3 linked regions of the Sus scrofa genome follow. The protein of the gene in region 3 binds, or shares a complex with, the protein of the main gene of each other region. Links are inferred from orthologs where the notes say so. Each region holds a gene or a part of one and is shown on either strand. Other genes may lie near its edges. The genes, in order: NME1, TREX1 and ANP32A.

Region 1 (6,703 bases), on a different chromosome or scaffold from region 3:
GTGGCCCTTGAAATACAGCGACTCGATTAATGCAGTAACAGCATGTCCTTTGTGTTCTTTTTTTCTTGTTTTGGCCATGCCTATGTCTTGTGAAAGTTCCCAGGCCAGGGACTGAACCTGCACCACAGTAGCAACCCAAGCCACTGCAGTGACAATGCTGGATCTTTAACCTACTGAGCCACCATCAGAGAAAGCCTTGTGTGTTCTTCTTCTTCTTCTTTTTTTTTTTGGCTTGTTTTAGGGCTGTGCTAGCGGCACATGGAGGTTCCCAGGCTAGGGCTCAAATCAGAGCTGTGGCCGCCAGCCTATGCCACAGCCACAGCAACAAGGGAGCAGAGGCGAGTCTGCAACCTACACCACAGCTCATGGCAATGCCAGATCCTTAACCCACTGAACGAGGCCAGGGATTGAACCCGCAACCTCATGGATCCCAGCCAGATTCTTTCTGCTGTGCCACAACGGGAACTCCCGCCCTGTGTGTTCTAAACAACATTGAAGACTACGGCCAAGAGTCTGGGACCACTGACCAGGGCTCCCAATGGGTGTGGAATTGGTAAATTGATTATATTGGCCCCTCCCTCCAGGTGAAGCTTCTAAATATGCCTTGGTTTGTGTGGACACCGCATCTAGCCTAACCCAAGCTTTCCCTTGTCACCTCACAAACCAGGCTGCCACCATTATGGGATTAGAGTAGCTGAGATCCTGTATGGATACCTTATTGAATAGACAGTAATTGTGGGTTACTTTCAAAGGTCATGAGGTACAAAACTGGGCAAAAGAACATGACATTGGAGTTCCCGTCATGGCGCAGTGGAAACGAATCCGACTAGGAACCGTGAGGTTTCAGGTTCGATCCCTGACCTCGCTCAGTGGGTTAAGGATCTGGCACTGCTGTGAGCTGTGGTGTAGGTCACAGACATGGCTTGGATCTTGCATGGCTGTGCCTGTGGCATAGGCTAGCAGCTACAGTTCCGATTAGACCCCTAGCCTGGGAACCTCCATATGCTGAGGGTGTGGCCCTGAAAAGCAAAAAAAAAAAGAAAGAAAAAAGAAAAGAATATGACATTAAATGAAGTCCCATCTCCCCTATGACCCACAGTCAGGAAAGAAAAATGAAATAGTAAAACAGCAGATTAAAGTACTAACAAATTGGAGTTCCTGTCGAGGCTCAAGGGTTAACAAATCCAACTAGGAACCATGAGGTTGCAGGTTCGATCCCTGGCCTTGCTCAGTGGGTTAAGGATCCAGTGTTGCCGTGAGCTGTGATGTAGGTTGCAGACTCGCCTCAGATCCCGTGTTGCTGTGGCTCTGGCGTAGGCCGGCAGCTACAGCTCCAATTCGACCCCTAACCTGGGAACCTCCATATGCCGCGGGAGCAGCCCTAGAAAAGGGCAAAAAGACAATAAATAAATAAATAAATAAAGTACTAAAAAGTAAAACCACCCTGGCCAGGTGGACTGAAGTACTGTCCCAGACTTTGATACATTTGAATGATGAACCAGTAGAACTTGTGGCCTTTTATGCCAGACGAGAGACCCCTGCCAAGATACCCAATGTCTTGGGAAACAGCTCTCTCTGTGGATCAATGGACTGTGCTGCTGAGAACACTAAGCCCCACCCCTGGGTGAGGGGGAATTACTCAGTTTCCACTGGGAGGCTGCAGCCCTGCCACAAGCTGGCCTGTTGAGATGTGCTATACCTGGAAGGGAACATGCACCTCTGAAGAGGGGAGAAGGAAGGGGTCCTGGTCTGGCATATCCCACGCCTACTCCATCTCCTCATGCCAGACAGGGCTGCCTGCCCTGGCCAACATGTATAGCATACATAACTAGGTCAAGTTCCTAGAGCTGCCAACCTCCCTCTCCTCCAGGCCAGATGGGCACATTCGGTTTCCCACTGGAACAATCATTTAGCCACCATTTTTGTCCCCTCCTTTGGCCTGACGGGCATTATAGCACAGAGAGAAGCCCTTACTAAATTCACCCAGCAAGCCTTAAATACTAGCCTGCAAAACCTGTCTTTATGGAACACTTTATCTTTAATGGCAAAAGCTGTCCTCCAAAGCAGGACATTATTACTGCCTGACAAAGGGATTTAGTAAATCAATGGTTCAGATGATGAGGCTCCTGGAGGAGAAAATTGTTATTATTTAGGGAATCGTCTTAATCCATGCGTCTCTTACACATGCCTCTATAATGCTGCTCTGACATCTGCCTCCACTGCAATCAGATGGCTGCCAAATGAGCCGCCTCCACCCTTTGCTGATCTCTCAGGGCACAATGCATCTGGGGAGTGGGGATGAGATTGTGAGAGCTAGTTGCAAGGGGTGGAGTATTGGAGGAGGTCATGGAGAGAATACGTCCCCAGGCAACTAGAGGCTCCTCACCTCTGTTTTTGAAAGGTACACTCTGCCTACTGTCCCCATAGTAGGGGCTGTTCGAAGGACAAAACATAGCCTTGAGAGAGTAAAGTGTTGTTGAGACCATCTGGACTGAATAGATGACTAAACCCATTTAAAGACTCTATGCATAACTTTTAAAATTCTGGTAGGTGACAGCAGCCACCTCAAGCTCCCTTGGTCATTATAACTGCCACCTATAATCTGGAGTGGTCTGCCTTTCTTCAGTCTCTCCTTGCCTTTGTGTGCAGAAGCCAGTTTTTTGTTTTTGTTTTTATTTTTAGGGCTGTACCCACCCTTCTAGCATACAGAAAGGCTAGAGGTAGAATCAGAGTGCAGCTGCAGGCCTACACCACAGCCACAGCCACACCAGATCCACGCTGCATCTGTGACCTACGCTGCAGCTTGTGGCAATGTGTATCCTTAACCCACTGAGTGAGGCCAGGGATCGAACCTGCATCCTTACAGACACTAGTCGGCTTCTTAAGCCACTGAGCCACAATGGGGACTAACATAAGCATCTACTGGGTACCCAATACTATGGCAGAACTGAGACAAGAAGTATTAAGAGAAAAAGAAAAGAATATCTTTCTGGATTATCCAGATGAGGGAAACTACAGTGATAATATGTGAGTGATGTCTAAAACAAGGCAGTATGAAATACAGTTTGACCTACTACCTCAGCATGCTATAACAGGAAGGAGTTTAGAGATTATTTCATTACAATCTTTTCTTTTACAAATGAGGAAACACATCTGGAGTACCAGAAGGAGGGTCACAATCCAGATTTCCCAACCCTCTGCAGCTTATGCTACATCACAAGATTAATGAATATTCTGACTAACCAATAAATGGTGGATTGTGGGAGAACTGTAGCCATGAGTAATATCTGTTGGAAGAAAGCCTAGAGACCACCTACTTCAGACTCTTCCTTTTACAGATAAGAAGTCTCAACTCAGGACCTGCTCTGCCTCCACAAGATGACAAAGGAGTCCCCTCACCTTGAAAGACAATCCCTATGTGGATAGCAGCACCACCTCCTGGCTCTACCTTCCTATAATTTAGTTGGCCTTTTATTACAACACCTTAACAATATATGTGAATTTTCTGTTTATTTCTCACAGGCCTGCCCCTGAATACAGAGATGATTTACTTCCCTAGTACCTAGTTACAGAGCCTAGTACTCAATAAGAGCAAAGAAAATGTCTTAAATGATAACCGCCCTGCACCTCCAAGAAAAAGAGACAAGGCCCAAGAACTGGCGGAGAACTCCTAATAGAAGCTACAGACAAGCATGAATTCCCTAGGAGAACATGGGGCTAAAGAGCCACAAACAGCAGTCCCTATACGTGTTCCCCACACCCACTCTTGATACATATCTGTCATTCATTCAGTAAGCACTGAGCACTGCACTCGATATAAACAAATAAGGCACAACCCTTACAGTCACGGACTGATGGGAAAAGCAGCCACGGACAAAGCCGAGTCCACGTGGCGCGGGACGTGAGCTGACAGGTTTGCACCTGTCAATGGGTGCGTCCCTCCCACCCGATCCCCCTGGCCACTTCTCCGAGTGGAACTTACCCGACCTCTTCACCTCCCCCTCCCTGGACCCCACTCTTCTCCCTTTTCTCTCAGGACCTCGAACCCTTCTCACCCCTCCGGGCACTTGGGCTTCAACTCCGTCGCCTGTCACCCGCACCGGAAACACGCCCCAGCTCCTCGTGGTTCCTAGCACCCGCTCGCGCGGAACGCTTCTGCGCATAATCGGCTGCAGGAGAGCCCATTTTGCAGAACACCACTCGCCTACGCTTCCTCCCGACAGTCGGATATCGTTCAAGGGAGCAACTTCCTGAAGTTCAACTTCCGGTACGGCTTCTCCCTATTCTTCTCGCACGCTGCAGCCATCTTTTTTTTCCCTTTAAGATCTGTGACTCACTTCCTTCTTTCGCGAGCAAACTGGCTTCCCGAGAGGTGGCGCTCACACTTTGCGTGAAAACTGAACTAGCGCCTGACCTAGAAGTAGTCAGTGTCCTCGTTTTACATTTGCTCATTCTTTCCAGCCTGTCAAGCAAATTATTTATTGAGTACCTTCTATGTGTCAGATATTGTTTCAGAGTCTGGGGTATAGCAGTAAACTTTCTTGGAACTTCTCGTGGGGTTGGGAATAAAGACAAACAATAAACAAATGAGCAAATTAACATGTAATATATCATAGTATGTAAATATTACTGAGAAAAAGCACAGCGAGGGGGTAGGGTAAAGGAGTACTTTAAATGTTGACTGGTGTGCTCTCTCAGGGGGTGACAGTAGAATAGACCTGCTGAAGTCAGATTACCTGAGAGCCAGTGGACATTAAGTGCTAGAAAATGCAACTGGAGAGCAGCAAGATTATGATGTGGTGGGAAGCCATTGGAGAATTTTGAGCAGGGCATGATATCATCTGATACATTTAAAAAAAAAAATCATTGCCTGCTGCAGGAGGAATGGCTGTGGTAAAGTACAGGATAGAATCAGGAGCCTTTTCAAAAAATGTGCTGGAGCACCTATAGGCAGAAAGAAAGTAAGAAGAAAGGAAGGAAGGAAAGAAAAAACCTCCACCTAAACCTCCCACTTTGAAAGAAAATCACTCCAGAGGGATTATAGATTTGTAAGTGTAAAACTATGTGGATAGGAGTTCCCTTGTAGCACAGCAGGTTAAGGATACAGCATTGTCACTGCAGCAGATTGGGTAGCTGCGGTGGCATGGATTTGATCCCGAGCTCAGAGAACTTCCACATGCCCCGGGTGCAACCCAAAAACCCCCAAAACAAAACAGGTGGCGGCTCAGAGAATTACAAACCTAACTAGTATCCATGAGGATATGGGTTCAATCCCTATCCTGGCTCAGTGGGTTAAGGATCCAGCATTGCCGTGAACTGTGGTGTAGGTGACAGACACAGCTCAGATCTGGCTTGGCCTTGGCTGTGGCTGTGACTGTGGTGTAGGCCAGCAGCTGCAGCTCTGATTCAACCACAAGCGTGGGAACTTACATATGCCGAAGGTGTAGCCCTAAAAAGCAAAAAAACAAAACAAAACAAAAAAACTATGCCTGCCATTTCAGTAAACAAAGAATATGGCCTGTCATCAAGCCATCAGCCACTGCAGCCTCCCCAAAGGTGCACCCTGAAGAGAAAAATAGTATACTGGCCCTAGATAAAGATGCATGTCAAAGGAATAATTTCTTTCTTTCTTCTTCTTTTTTTTTTTTTTTTTTTTTTTTTGGTTAGGGTCACACCTGCAGCATATGGAAGTTCCCAGGCTACGAGTCAAATCAGAGATGCAGCTGCTGGCCTAAGCCACAGCCACAGCAACTTGGGATCCAAGCTGAGTCTGTCTTCAACCTACATGACAGCTCTTGGCAACGTCAGATCCTTAACCCATTAAGTAAGGCCAGGGATCAAAACTGCTTACTCATGGTTTCTAGTCAGGTTCGTTACTGCTGAGCCACAACAGGAAATCCTCAAAGGAATAATTTCAATGAGCATTTTGATTGTTGTTGTGTTCTCAATGCATATGCATCTACGTTTTGAAATTAGCAATAATCTTTTGATGTTCCACTAACATTTTTTTTCAGCCATGCCCAGGGCATGTTGAGGTTCCTAGGCCAGGGATGGAGCCCAAGCCACAGTAGCAACTTGAACTGCTGCAATGATAATGCTGGATCCTTAATCTACTGTGCCGCAAGGGAACTCCACTAACATGTTTTATGGTTTGTTTGTTTGTTTTCTCAGTAAAATCTGAATATCCTGACTTCTCTCTTACTTCTTTGGAACAGTTCCTTAGAGCTATCTGAGAGTCTGTCTCCCAAGCTATAGTCATAGAAAGGTCACCAAATAAAACATAATTCACAACTTTTAGGTTGTACCTTTTTTTTTTTTCAATCAAACTACAAAAAGTTTAGAAAAAGAAAACATGGTGGAAAAAATCTTCAGGTGTTCCTGCTATGGTGCAGTGGGTTAAAGGATCTGGTGTTGCCATGGCTGTGGCTTGGATTAAGTTCCTGGCCCAAGAACTTCCATGTGCCCAAGGTGCGGCCAAAAAAAAAATTCTTCAAGACCAAGGGGTAGGCAAGTTTTTAGACTTGCCACCTAAAGCAAAATCCATAAAAGGAAAACTCTGATAAGTTGGATCTTATCAAAATTAAAATCTTTGGCTCTTCAAAAGACCCCAAGAAGAGGATGAAAAAAAATAAGCTGCAGGGTAGAAGAAAATATTTGCAAACTGCATGTCCAACACAGCCCCAGTATCGAGACTATATAGAGA
Region 2 (6,806 bases), on a different chromosome or scaffold from region 3:
CTGCAGCCCGCATGCCCACAGCCAACCAGTGTCCTCTCCATTTTCAGGAGGTGCGGCCATGCCCTACCCTGCCAGTCAGCCTCCTTACAATCCGGCCTACGTGGATCCCCCGAAGGCAGCTCCCTGAGCACACCTTTGCATCTCTGGCTGCCACTTGATCTGTCATGTGTGTATGTGAATGGGTATGCAGGCACGGTCTTGTTTCTTCCCGTGCGTGGTGTGTGTGTCCTATTTGTACACGAAGTTTCTTGTGAGGGGTGGGGGACAATCCTTCCCAGAGTTAATTGGGACCATAGCTTGTTCCCTTCCTGACTTGAAATTATGCTTCTGAAATCTCAAGCAAAACTGAAAGAATGGTTCTCTTCCAGACAGCCCAGGGAGGCCAAATGGGGGTTGTCACACTAGGATAGCACAGCTTTTTGTGGGCACAGTGCACCCGTGTTCCAGTTTCTGAGGAATGCTGGCCACTGCTCAAGGCCATGGCTTGTCCCCAGACTTGCCTTCAAAGAACCAGAGCCGTGATGCAAAGTGGGTGAGGTGAGGCTTGGGAGCCAGCCAGAGGTGGGTTTCAACCCTTGTGGCAGACAGCCCACAGCTCCCACAGCCTGTGCCTTGCCCATTGGAGGGAGGGCAGCCTCCTGATATCAAAACATCTCAGGCAGAGCCGCACCCTCCCTCGAGCACTCTCTGCCTGGACTCTTGCATCCTTCCTGGGACCACCTGGAAAGCCACATTTACCCATGGTTCTGGCTGCCCTGACTCCCGCCACAGATGCACAGGCTGGCCTCTGTCTACCTACACACTCAGGTGTCATCCCTGCAGTGTTTTTTGAGCTAAACATTTTACCTGCTTTGTTTCAAAGTGTGTGTTATAATTGCTGTGAGGCTGAAACCCCTGGGTCCTAGAGAGAAATTGCCCCAGAGGAGAGAGACTGTCTAGCGTGATAGCCCCTGCTTCCCCAGCACCAGCCTCACAGACTGTCCAGCTCCTGTACCCCAGTCCACAGTCTGTCCTGGCAGTGGGGACACCTGGGCCAAGGGGTCATCTGGACCAAAGGTGGAAGGGGCCCTGGGTGGCTGCTTTGGCCCAGACACAATACCTCGGTGTTCCCTCTCCTCTATAATGTCTTACCACATTGTAGCTTTGTACCTGTTCGTGTGTTTTTGAGAATCTAGAGTCTGCACCCTTGTTTATAATAAATGCAAGTATTTGGATCTGCTGTCCCCCTGTTTTGTGGCCTTGGCTGCTGGGATTGTGTATTAGGCCAGGTACCAACCATTTCCATCCAATATTTGGAGTTCATTTCCCTCACTTTTATTGGGCTCAGACGTCTCATCATCCTGCTATGAAGGGTGATAACAAGGACTGCCACTTTCTGTGTCCTGGCCCCAGGTCTCTGAGTGTGGGCAGAAGTGCAGGAGGCTCTAAGGCTGCCACGGAGCATAGAGGTGAGTGATCACTCAGCGCTGTGAGAGGGTCTTTATTAGTCAGCCCTTCCTTGGCCTAATGCCCAGGTATGGCTATGGACAGCCCATACAGTGTGGCTACTGCCAAGGTCAGGAAGGCCAGCAGGCCCAGTGGGGCCAGCAGTCCCTCCCTGGGTGGGGTTCCAGGGCTCTTCATTGGAGAAAGGGGCTTGGGGCTTCTGTCCCCACCAAGGTTGGGGCTGGTGTTCCTGGCTTTGGCCAGGAGTACAGTGGCCTTGGCAGCAGATGGCCTTGGGTTGGTTCCAGTAGAGGCTGTGACCACGTACATCGGCTTGACGGTGCTGAAAGGCCTGGCATGAACATCTACCCACCGTAGCAAGGCCCGTGGCCTCCACTGACAGATGCTGAGCAGGGCTAGGACATCACCCTCAGCCGTGTGTGAGTCTGGTGGAGCCTGGCCATACAGGCGTGTATAGATGCTGCCCAGACTGTAGCTCTTCCTTGGGCCGTGCTCCGAGGAGCCGTCAGCTTGCTCCAGGGCCTTCAAGGCTGCAATACTATCCACACAGAAGGTGTCATCCAAAGCACTGGCAAGGCCCAGCATGGCCAGCTCTGCCTGGAGCAGGGGGAAGTCGTAGCGGTCACCGTTGTGTGCCACGAGGCACGAGGGCTGTGGCTGGCGCTGCAGGAAGGCTCGGAGGAGATTGGCCAGGTTGGCATCGAAGTACTGACGCCCATGTGCAGCCAGTACAGCTGTGCTCAGGCCAGTGATCTCGCTGGCTGCAGGGCTGCAGGCCTTCCCTGGAGCCACGCACAGGGAGAGCTTGTCCAGCACCCGAGGTGGCGGTGGCACCGTGGGAGAAGGCCCCTGTGGGATGGGAAGGCTCTCCAGGGCACATCTATGGACAGCTAGCAGGCATAGCTCCGTGACCTTGGGCTGGGAGAAGGGCAGGCCAGTGGCCTCCAGGTCCAAGAAGATGAGGGTCTGCACGGGAGCCTGGGGCAGGGCCTGCGAGCCCATGGTAGGTATCTGGCGCTGAGCCTGGGGAGGAGCATGGGGTGGGGGTGGGGAGGGTGAGTGCCCAGTGATAAGAGGAAAGGAGGGTAGGGGGTGGGTGGGCAGGAAGCCAGAGAAGGTGCGGTGGCTTCCTTTGTGGGATCAGCATACTCAGCTATCTGATCAGGGGAAGGTTTGGCTCCTCCCCTAGAACCCACTTAGCCTGGTGTGTGTGGGGGAGCAGGTACCCACAGCCCTCCCACCCTACCCCATCCCCTTGGGGGTCCTCACCGAACAGCAGGCAGGCAGCAATGACTCAGGGTGAATGCTCTCTGGCTGGTTCTTGCTGCTGGCAGCAGTGGCGGGAAGTGAAACTGGGCCTGAGCCCGCCCAGGAGCTGGTGTGAGCAAAGCCCGCCCCTGCTCGTCAGCCTGCTGGGCTGTCCCTCTTGCCAACACCCGTTCCCTCCCCAGGCACCCACAGTACTGCCTCAAAGGCCTTCTCAGATCTCTGTCTGGCACAGTGCACCAGGACCCCTGGACAGCAGGGGACAGGGCTATCCGGGAAGGCGAGCTCCAGGACTCAAGCCTGCCGGGAGCCCCTGCCATGGCGTTTGTACCCACCCCTTGGCCCCACTTTCCCAGGCCTCCCTGGTTTAGGCCTGGGCTGAAGGGCTGCCTCCTTCTCTGCCACACAATGGTTTCTAACCATGGCCTCAGCCCAATGCGATGACTCAGGGCAATTCCACAGGCAGGGCAGAGCAGGGCTGCTTCCTCAGAGCAGATTCATCACCAAGGGGCTGGATCTCAGCTCCCTCCAGGGACAGTAAGAAGGATCCCAGTTTCCTTGGATCCCGCTCCTACTCTGTCCCTCCCAATCAGCTGACACACATCAGACTCAGGAAACAAAGGCTGGTATGTTCTCAAACAGCCAGTCACTGCTTTTAATCAGTGGATGAGGTAAGGAAATGAGTGGCGCTGGTGCCACCATGTGGCTCGATGTTCACCCGGCCTCAGCCACAGTCCATCTCAGGGTCGTCCACATCGGGCTCTGTGGCGCAGAGGTCATCCAGGGCTGCCTCTGAGCCAAAAGAGAAGAAGGTTCTGTGGCCAAGGCCTAAAGGCGCTGGGACTGCAGCAAGTCCACCTCTCCTCCCACACCCAGGCCCACAGGAACTAACCAGTCCCTTCCATGCCCAGGCCTTGCTCCCTCAGCTACTGCAAGCAAAGTGATACAAAGGCAATTCAGACAGGGATGTTTCTGGAAAAACCGTGGTTCTGCCAGGCTGATTCAACAGATAGGAGCAAAAGGCAGGCTGATAATACTCAGAGAAGAACCGGAGCAGGAAGACAAGAATGGCCCCAGTGCTGGCAAAGGCCGTGAGCACGGAGGGCTGCTGACCTAAGGTGGGGAGGGCTGACCTGCCCATAGACTCCAGGGCAAACCCCAAACGTGGGCTGGGCAGGGAGGGGCCGTCTTGCCGGCTCACCTTCACAGTCTGTCACGTCAGGAAGCCCTCGAATCAGCAAGCTGACCCCTGGCATCACCTGGTCGTACTGATGCAGGACCTCCACGCAGTGCACAGTGAAGAGCTTGTCCTTCTGGGACAGGCTGTGCAGCAGCAGCACTGTGTCCCGCAGACACCGCACTGTCCGCTTCTGCTGGTCAGTCCTCGGGAGCGCCCCCGCCCTCTGCACCGTCAGCCACTGTCTGTGCAGCATCACGGTGAGTGCTCTGACCACCTGGGACAGGGGCAGGCTGAGGTCAGGCCTTCTGGTCGCTGTGCCCTAACAACCTGCTCAGCTGGGCAGCCCCTTTCCTTGCCCCCCAGGTGAGGAAGGTTCTGAGCGGTGCTCTAATCCTGGGGAAGAGCACAGATCCTTGCGCGGGGCCCCCTCACCCACCAACAGAGCCAACCGCTGTTGCCCCTGCTTGTCCCTGGCACTCACCTCCACGTTGCACTGACAGCTGGAGCCGGTAACTGGGGAAGAGGGGCTCTGGACACCAAGCTTAGCCAGGAGCCACACGGCCTAGAACAGGAAGAGATTCTGTTCCATCCATGGCAGAACAGGACCTTGGTCAGTGAGAGCTTTCTCAAGCTTCTCTAAGAGCTCCGGTTGTCTCAGCAACTGCTCCTCTGCACTAAGGATCCTAGAGGTGGTAGTATTGTGAGGCCTTCCCAGGAGAGGCTTGCCAACACCTGTGTCTCACCAGTGACCCACCTCGTTCCAGGCTACCTCCAGCCACCAGGCCCCCAAACCAGGGGAGCATCAGTTATCAGGCAACCCTGCTAAGTCCCAGGATCCCCAGAAGTCCGCCTGTACTGGATCTGTGTTGTATGGAGCTCCCCAAGTGAGTTTACCTTGTTAGTGGCTGAACTCATTACCAAAATGAATTAAAGCTCCCTTTGTTCCCAGAAGGAGGAAAAGTGGCTCTGGAGTGGGGTGGTGAGCAGGCCACAGAAGGGGCTCTAGTAGTTTTACCTCTTGTTCCAGCTGAAGCCACTGTGTCTCCGAGGCTGCTTTGTCAGGCCTTGACGTGATGTACATGTACAGGAGGAGGAGGAGGCAGCCTTCTGGAAAGGATGTCCCACCTGTCATTCAGGGTTCCCCTCCCTACCCAGCACCTGGGTACAAGCTGCAGAAGCCCTCAGGAGGCCCCTGACCTGTCCCTGCCACCACCCTTCACTGCAACTTGCAGGAGCAGCCTAGACGTACACCCCAGGCCTACTTTTACCTGAGTGGGAACAGAGCTGAGGGGCGAGCTTCTCATGGTCCGCCAGGAGGGACAGGAGCTCAACAGTCAGTAGCACACCAGGCAGGGGTGTCTCTGGGCGCAGGCACTGGGGCAGCACCCGGAACACGCACTGGAACCTGAAACGGGCCCAGAGAGATGTGACACCTCCGACCCACTCCCATAACTCACCCTCACTTTTTACTGGAGGTTAACAGGAACTTCCAAGAGGCCAGTGCAAAGAGAAAACTTGATTCAGAAAGATCTGGGTTCAAATGGCAGCCTACTTGCGGATACTCATTTTATGTGACCAAGTGGGTACCACCCTCCACTGCAGGACTGCTGTGGCTTGGAGATGACAGGTCCTTAGCTGACAGTGCTGTCCAGCATTTGTATTTCAGGATGCCTCCTTGGACCTGGGGTGCCTGGCCTCCATATTGCTCCTGGGAGGCTCTGCTCCCAAATAGGAGGCAGGTCTTAACTTGGGTGTGAGAGAAATGTCCTGGGATACCACCAAAGAATGAGCCAGGCTTCAGCAGTGATGGAGCCTTGGCTATGGCTGGATCTTATGAGGCTAGCCAACCCACCGCCTGGGAATGCAGCCCCACCCATTAGTAGACAGGCTGCCTAAAGACTTTCTGAGGAGTTCCCACTGTGGTGCAATGGGGTTGGTGGTGTCTCTCCAGTGCCAGGACACAGATTTGATCCCTGGCCCTGCACAGTGGGTTAAAGGATCCAGATTGCTGCAACTGCGGTATTGGTCACCACTGTTGCTCAGATCTGGTCCTTGGTCTGGGAACTTCGTATGCCTCAGGGTAGCCAAAAAAAAAAAAAAAAGACTTCCTGGGCCCACAGCCACCTCTAGACACACCCCTTGACAAAGCCCTGCCCCACCTGAGGGCCAAGACCCAGCTCCACCCATCAGGAGCTGCACTCCCATGGGGAAGCCTGCACAAGCCTCTAGATAAGCTTCACTCACCTGGAGGCAGACACTCTAAACAAGAAAATATGATCCTGCATCCTGCAGAACTGAGTCTGCAAACAGGTCAGAACCTACCCTGGGACTAGCTGGTCCCTGGCCCCTGGGTAACAAGAGGGGAGTGTACTGCTGGCATACAAAGGCAAGTACTGAAATTGAATCTGTGATTAAGAAACTCCCAGCAGGAGTTCCCTTTGTGGCTCAGCGGGTTAAGTACCCAACACAGTCTCTGTGAGGGTAGGGGTTTGAACCCTGGCCTCACTCATTTTGCTAAGGATCAGGCATTGCTGCAAGCTGTGTGTAGATTGCAGATGTGGCTTGCATCCGGTGTAGCTGTGGCTGTGGTGTAGGGTGGCAGCTGCAGCTCGCAACTCCAATTTGACCCCTAGCCCAGGAACTTCCAAATGCCACAGGTGTGGCCCTAAAAAGAAAAAAATATATATTTTAAAAAAGAAAAAAAACTCCCAACAAAAGTCCAGGACCAGATGGCTTTCACAGTGGATTCTATCAAACATTTAGAGAAGAGTTAACATGTACATCTTCTGAAACTATTCCAAAAAATTGTAGAGGAAGGAACACTTACAAATTCATTGTATGAGACCACCGTCACCCCAAGACCAAAACCAGACAAAAATACTACAAAAAAAGAAAATTATAGGCCAATATCATT
Region 3 (6,771 bases):
AGCCAATACCCACCACGGGCACCAGCTCTGGGCAGCTCGCGTCCTGACAAAGTTTCCCGGGCCCATTTATTAACCCGTCGCCGAATGGCTGCCAAGGAGCCCACCCTAGAGACAAGACAGGCCAGGGGTCGGTGCCGGGGGGCGCCACGGCTCGAAGGCTGGCACCTTAGGGAGGCTGGAAGGAGCAAGGGGGAGAGGGAGGACCTGGACTTAGCCTTTGGGTAACTTGCAGTAGCGATCGCGCGAGGTGGGGAGGCGCGGGGATTATCTGTGCCTTTGCACGTTCGAAAATCCCTCCCCCCCCTTCTTCCAATTTATCTTCCCTTCAGAAGGAAAGGAAGAAACATCAGCATCTGGCCCGAAGGTGGGGTGGAAAGAGTGAGGGAGAAAGAGGAGGAGAGGAAAGGAGGCAGAGAAAGGGAGGGAGGGAGAGAAAGGGCGCGTTCACGAACACTACAAAGTTACAAATATGGCTCCCCCGTCTCTCGCCTCATCACTGCAAAGAAATGAAGACGCACTTTAAACTCGAGCCATTCCCAACTCCGCTGCAGCCCCCTCCCCATGCGCTCTCCCCAGGGGCCTCGGCCCACATTTATCAGAAACTAAACCGGACTCGCGAAGCCCAAAACTTATTGTGTGTGTGCGAGCGAGAGAGAGAGAGAGAGAGACGGAGAGAGAGGGAGAAAGGGAGGGGGAAGGCGCGGGAGGGGGGAGGAAGGGGGGATTCATTTATAAAATATAAAACCCCCTTTTTTTGTTGTTAAATCCAGGAGGCAGCCCCTCTCCTCCTCCTCCCTCGTTAATCTTTCCCCTAGACGGAGTCACGCGAGCAGCGAGCTCAGAGGGTTATTCTGCCTCATTCTCTCCGACCCAAACGCGTGCGCCCGCTGGCCCCCGATGGGTGCACACTCGCACGCACACTCTCGCACCCACACTCGCACACGCGGGAGCACACGCACAGGTAGTCACACACCAAGGGCAGCGGCGGCGACAGCCAGAAAATGATCGGATGGCATTGCAACCCCCCAACCTTGCAATTCATTTGCAGTCCGACCCCCAAACCCACATCTCCTAGGCGCCCCCCCCAAAAAAAGTGCCTCCCCCCAACGCACACACACACACACAAAGTAGGAGAATGGACCGACAGAGATATTTTTGGCAAATGCTCACATCAGAGGGCGTCCTGTTCCGCAGCTCTAAATGAATCCGTTTGTCCATCTCCATCTCTCGCGCTCTCTCTCTGCAGAGGCTCCCGCGCCGGCGGAATTCAATCAATAAACCCCGAACCCACGGCCGCGCGTTTTAGGACTTTGAAGGCTCAACCAGCTCCGCTCGGTTCTCGAGCCCCCAGCACCCGCGGCGCACACTAACCTGATCACCGTGGAGGCGGGATCGGCGGCTCCGCGGACGAGTGGCAGCGGCCTTAGCCAATCGCCGCCGAGGGTCTCCGGGCAACAACGAATGGTGGCGGAGGCGGGGGGGAAGGGACCAATGGGCGGGCTGCGCAGCCGGCCAGGGAGGCTCAGCCATTTGGTTGTGGTACCGGAGACGGACCCCTTTAGATTTCGGGGCGGCTGAGGAGCGCGGCGGCAGCTCGGTTGCTGAGCTAGGGGGGTGGGCGGAATGGCGGGGGAAGGGAAGGTGACTGTGCCTGGAGGGCCAAGCCGCCCGGCCTCACCAGCCCCGCAGCCGCCTCAGCGTTTGGCCGGGGGCGGGGCCGCAGGTGCGTTATATGAAAGGGAGGGGCGCGGCCGGAGGGGCCGGGGGTTGGGGTTCTCGCCGGGCGGAGGGCTTCGCGGGGTCGCCCTGGGCCTACCCTCGCCCCTCCACTGGGTTGTGGAAAGAGGCAGGCAGTGCGAGGCCTGGGGGCAGCGGACTGCCCCGCGGGCGGGCGGATGAAAGGCCTGGAAAGAGGGGGAGGGGTCAAGGGTGCAGTGGGGGGAGGGGTGGTCTTTTTCTGGGTCCTTTGGGCCGAGCTAGTGGAGGGTGGCTGCTGCCCCCATCTCTTTTGCGGGTTCCAACCCCTGAGCTACAGCCCACAGCCCGCGCGCCCCTTCGCCTCCCGCCTCGTCGTAGTCCAGCCATGGCCATCGTAGTCCCTCGCATACTTCAGTAAATAAAAAGCAAGGTGCGTCCACCTTTGGGTGACTTAACCTCTCGGTCTCGACCCTCTGCATGGAGGGGCATTTCAGTTTGCTGTTTTACTAGCTTGGAAGGAATGATCACCAAAAGGCACACAGGATCTTAGTCAATAAGTGAATGAAGAGCAGGGACTAAAAATTGATACTGAATATATTGAATATTTTAAATAAATGAAAAGGAAGGTGCTTGTAACTCCTGGTTTTCTGGACCAAAAATAATTTATGGGCTTTATTGACCTGGTGAAATAAAACGGCGCACAGTTTATTTTAATCGTCCACCTGAGTCATTTGGTTCAATTTGGGTTGCCAAAGAAGCTCTGTTTGGAGCACTTTCTCCAAGTTGTACGGTTTGCTTGCTTTGGATTTTTTTTGAATCACATTGGTTGTAAGAGACCTTAAAGCCTTAATTCCCACTTGATTACCAACTTCCGTGCTAGGACCTTGTTGTGTACTAAGTTGGCTGCCTGTGTCTGTTAATAAATCATGGGGATTGTTGTCAACAAGGACAGATACATCTCCACAAAACTGTTTTTCCATTCTTTTATTTCTACACAGCTACGCTCTTCCTCCTCATACACTCCGAGGTAGTTCTTTTGGATACATTGTGTTTATTTTTCAGGGATGTAGGTTCAAGTGAGATACACCAATATGTATGTTGCAAATTTGAGATGTTACGTAACACCAATACAGTTTCATTCTTGAGCATATAAAAGTTAGGAAGAAATAAAAAGTGGCAGAATGTAAGTAAAAGTCACATATAGAATGCTTACACCGAGGGAAGAAACAGTGGTAACTAATATTGTAACCTGATGGATTGCAAATGTGAGATCCTGAAGCTAAGCATTTTACTCAGTAAATTCTTCTTTCAGATAAAATATTAAGTGGGATTTGAAAAGTGATCATGTTTACTCTTAAGTAGCTGGGAAATGCAAGATAAAAATGGGAAGTCATTGTTTTATTTCATCTGGGTATGTTATATATACTTGTTGACTTATTGACGTATCAGTCTTCCTCAGTTTTGTTAATCTTATTAAAGTCCATTTGTGTAGTTGGAATTTATTCTTTTTAAAATTGTATTGACTTCGTTATTAAACATATTGGGACCCCGAATAACCTCTTTGCCAGAGTCAGTTCCTATTTCTGGATGTGGTATTTAAGGTTGTTTTAAAACAGAGCTCTTCATCACAAACACATTAAACCAATATGATGTATAGGAATCTATATAACACAGGAGTCATGAAGTTTATGTCCTCTTTGGTGGTAAATGTTCATCTTCAATTTAAAAATTTGATCACAACTAAATCCACACTGCTAGCAATGTGATAATATGGGACAGTGCCTTTCCAGAGAAGTAATCCCTTAAAAGCCAACCAATCAAATGCTAAGATGTCCCCCATCCAGCTCTGCCATTCGGAAGCAAATAGCTCACTTTATGGAACAAAGACTGGAGAGAATAAAGCCCAAATCTTGGTTAAAAAGAGTGTCCAGGAACAAGTTAGAATCAAAAAAGTCATGACTTGATTACTAGTCAAACAGTTGTTTTAGATATAACAGCTTTTGTACTGGTTTTGGAAAACTGAAAGAGGCTTCCTTAGGAGTTCCTGTCATGGCACAGCAGAAACGAATCCCACTAGAAACCATGACGTTGTGGGTTTGATCCCTGGCCTTGCTCAGTGGGTTAAGGATCCAGCATTGCCATGAGCTATGGTGTAGGTGGCAGATGTGGCTCGGATTTTTGCTGTGGCTGTGGCTGGCAGCTTTATCTCCAATTAGACCCCTAGCCCAAGAAGTTTCATATGCCATGGGTGCAGCCCTACAAAGCAAAAAAAAAAAAAAAAAAAAAAAGGCTTCACTGGATGTCAATTATTACAGAAGTTGAAATATCCAAACAGTATATAGCTAATTGAAAACTTACCATCTTTCCAACATACTTTGAAAGAAGATATTTTTCTCTCACTTTCACAAATAGATTTGTTTGTAGTTTATTCCCAAGAAATTTTTAGTGATTTAGATTTTTGAAATTGTTATTATCAAAAGGATATAGGAATATAGCTCAGCCAGAGCTGTGCCATATGCCTCATGCTACTTGATCGAAAATCAAAATAACAAGTGAACATTGCCTTTATATTCCCTGTTTTATCCAGTTGTTTCTTAAATCCATTTCATTGCAAACTGAAGGAAATAAATGCCCTTGAAAGGCTTTGAATATCAGAGATACAGTAAGAATAAATTCCATGTCAGGGAATCTTGGCTGAATTTTGATGTGGAGTGGGAAGAAGATGAGTTCCTAACTCTCAAGTGATTCCACAATGGGAGTTAAGGTTATAAAAAATGTAGTCTGTAACCTCCAGGACTGGATTTGATTCACACTAAGAAGAATAAATGAGATACAATTCAAAGGTTTGAACCCCTAGGGAGAAAGATGGCATTCAAGTAAGGAAAGATATCTGACTGCTTTCCAGAATATTTCCTTCAAGAACCACTCCAAACAAACGAGCAGCCAGCCTATCTTATTCTCTAAGAAGTATGAGCAATGGGCATCCTTAGCCTCTTGATACATTTTGGAAAGTACTGTTTTATAAGTAATCCACATTGATGCTGCTACCATTTAAACTCATTTGCCCTTGTTTGGTCTCTAAAGATGGAGACCCGCTGGTTAGCATACTTTTATGAGTCGCGTTAATGTATTCACCGTTCAGCTTTTGTTCTTCAGCTTGAATCACATACATTGGAACCTGGCCATAGGACCTTTTCACCTCCATCATGGTTCTGCTGCCTGTACCTCAAAAGACAATGATACGGAAAGACTCCAGCTTATTTATGTTCTCTTTTGTCTTTCTATATAAATAGCTTTTAGAAATGTAGATTATTCTTTTGAAATTCATGGTAACAAACGTGAAGACTACTGCATTGAGATTTGAATAGCAAAGGCATATTGAAGTCCAGGATCTGAAAGGTTAACTATTCTTAATTCTTTTGCTTAATAAAGCATTGGATGATTTTATTTTTCAAATTATTGAATAACTACCTTATCAATGTGTTGGTCATGGAGAAAAAGCACTGTCAGATAAAAATAATCATTGTATGTGATTTTTTTAAATTAATAGCAAAAAATCAGAGAAGCAACTCACAGTTTATTTTGAAAAGAAAAACAACCAAACAACAAACCCTATAGTCTACACACTTGTTTGGAACTCACTAGAGATTTTGTGAGTCTGTTTCTTAAATGTATTACAGGTAATTTGGGGGAAGCAATAAGAGGAAAGTCTGTTTACCATCCACCAGGAAGAAAAACCATAGTGATAGGCTCTTATTTTTAGTTTTAAAATATAGTTATAAAGGAAAAAATAGAGGTTTTAAAGGCAATGGAATGAGGAGCCATAGGGCAAGACTGACTGAGGGCATCCTAGGTTGGAAAAAAAATAGAAATGCAATTAATTTAAAACTACTAGTTCATTTTAATCTATCTGGCATTGAAGTTTATGAAGAAAAGAGTATTATACTAAAGTCTATTAAGATGTAAGAGGTAGAGAACAGACTTTCTAAGAACTTTTAATATATTTACTGTCAGCAAATACTGTTTATAAGCTTAAGCATACAGAGTAAAATTGTCCTCTCAGATTACCTACTTTTAATGGCAGTTATTATTTGTTCCTATAAGTAATTATTAAGATATATATATATATTCTATAGTTCTTCTTAGAGATCAATTTAATGCATTCTGAGAAATTAGTAATTTTAATATTAAATCCAGTGGAAATATTAGGCCCTTATGGAAGTATACTTATACCCTAAACTTTCTCTGAAAATTCTGAATCCTAGCAACTTGAATGTAAGAATTATACATCCACTGCACTTGACCAAGTGAGAGCCATGTGAAGACTTACGCAGCAGAGGAACACTGTCCTCTGGAATCATTTTGTATGCCTTCTTGCATGGGAGAATTATATCACTTCTACATATATTTATTCAAAGGCAACTTGAGTAAGGGTGACAAATAGTTTTCACCAGGCTGGACCAATTCATTATTGTCTGTGTTCATGTGGAGAGGCAGTGCTGTAAATGAGGCAGAATAGCAGGTAAATAACAAACATGTTGATCATAGTGTGGTAGCACTTTTCACAGCTAAAGAAAGACAATATATTCATATACCCAGGAAAAGTCCAGGAGAGTACCCACGATAAAAAAGAAAATGTTTGAGAAAATTTGTTTTACAAAGGTGATGTGATCTCTATGGGTGATGAGGCTCCGTGTTTTTTTGGTTTAGTCTGTATTTTCTAAGTTTTTAAGTTGACAAATAATTTTTTTGCAATAAAAAATTATTTTAAAGGAAAAGATAGGTATAGCAGGTTTGGGGGGTGTCTGTGTTGGTAGGAATTCTTAGTTGCAGACAGTGGAACGTTTCCCTGACTGATACAAGCAGCAGGCAATTTCTTTTAGGGCTATCACAGAACTAAAGAAAAAGGTCCAGGAAAAGAGTGGGAAATGTGAAGCCAGATGGCCTGGAGCACCTAAGTTGGTACTCCAGGTAGTCTTCAGAGGACCCCATCCCTTGGAAGTCATCTCTAGGCTGTAGACTCTGCACCCTTCCACTGCTGCAAATAATCTTTCCAGAGCTTTCGTTGATGTG

The links.
Region 1: ANP32A (region 3) and NME1 share a complex: the UniProt entries of both Homo sapiens proteins name them as parts of the SET complex. The link is inferred for Sus scrofa from reciprocal best matches to the Homo sapiens genes ANP32A and NME1.
Region 2: ANP32A (region 3) and TREX1 share a complex: the UniProt entries of both Homo sapiens proteins name them as parts of the SET complex. The link is inferred for Sus scrofa from reciprocal best matches to the Homo sapiens genes ANP32A and TREX1.

Annotation. Positions count from the first base shown.
Region 1 is NC_010454.4:27,413,809-27,420,511, reverse strand, and holds the start of NME1 (nucleoside diphosphate kinase A), read right to left. Parts: upstream 4,076-6,703; 5' UTR 3,983-4,075; intron 1-3,982. UniProt on the Homo sapiens protein: Major role in the synthesis of nucleoside triphosphates other than ATP. The ATP gamma phosphate is transferred to the NDP beta phosphate via a ping-pong mechanism, using a phosphorylated active-site intermediate.
Region 2 is NC_010455.5:31,175,252-31,182,057, reverse strand, and holds TREX1 (three-prime repair exonuclease 1), read right to left. Parts: upstream 4,374-6,806; intron 4,167-4,373; coding exon of another isoform or gene 3,914-4,166; 5' UTR 3,505-3,913; coding exon of another isoform or gene 3,437-3,504; 5' UTR 2,449-3,436; coding exon 1,504-2,448; 3' UTR 1,294-1,503; downstream 1-1,293. Other genes in the region: SHISA5 (protein shisa-5), read left to right, coding at 48-127; ATRIP (ATR-interacting protein), read right to left, coding at 3,437-3,504, 3,914-4,166, 4,374-4,454, 4,908-4,999, 5,161-5,297. UniProt on the Homo sapiens protein: Major cellular 3'-to-5' DNA exonuclease which digests single-stranded DNA (ssDNA) and double-stranded DNA (dsDNA) with mismatched 3' termini. Prevents cell-intrinsic initiation of autoimmunity.
Region 3 is NC_010443.5:166,699,860-166,706,630, forward strand, and holds the start of ANP32A (acidic leucine-rich nuclear phosphoprotein 32 family member A), read right to left. Parts: upstream 3,956-6,771; 5' UTR 1,225-3,955; coding exon 1,171-1,224; intron 1-1,170. UniProt on the Homo sapiens protein: Multifunctional protein that is involved in the regulation of many processes including tumor suppression, apoptosis, cell cycle progression or transcription. Promotes apoptosis by favouring the activation of caspase-9/CASP9 and allowing apoptosome formation.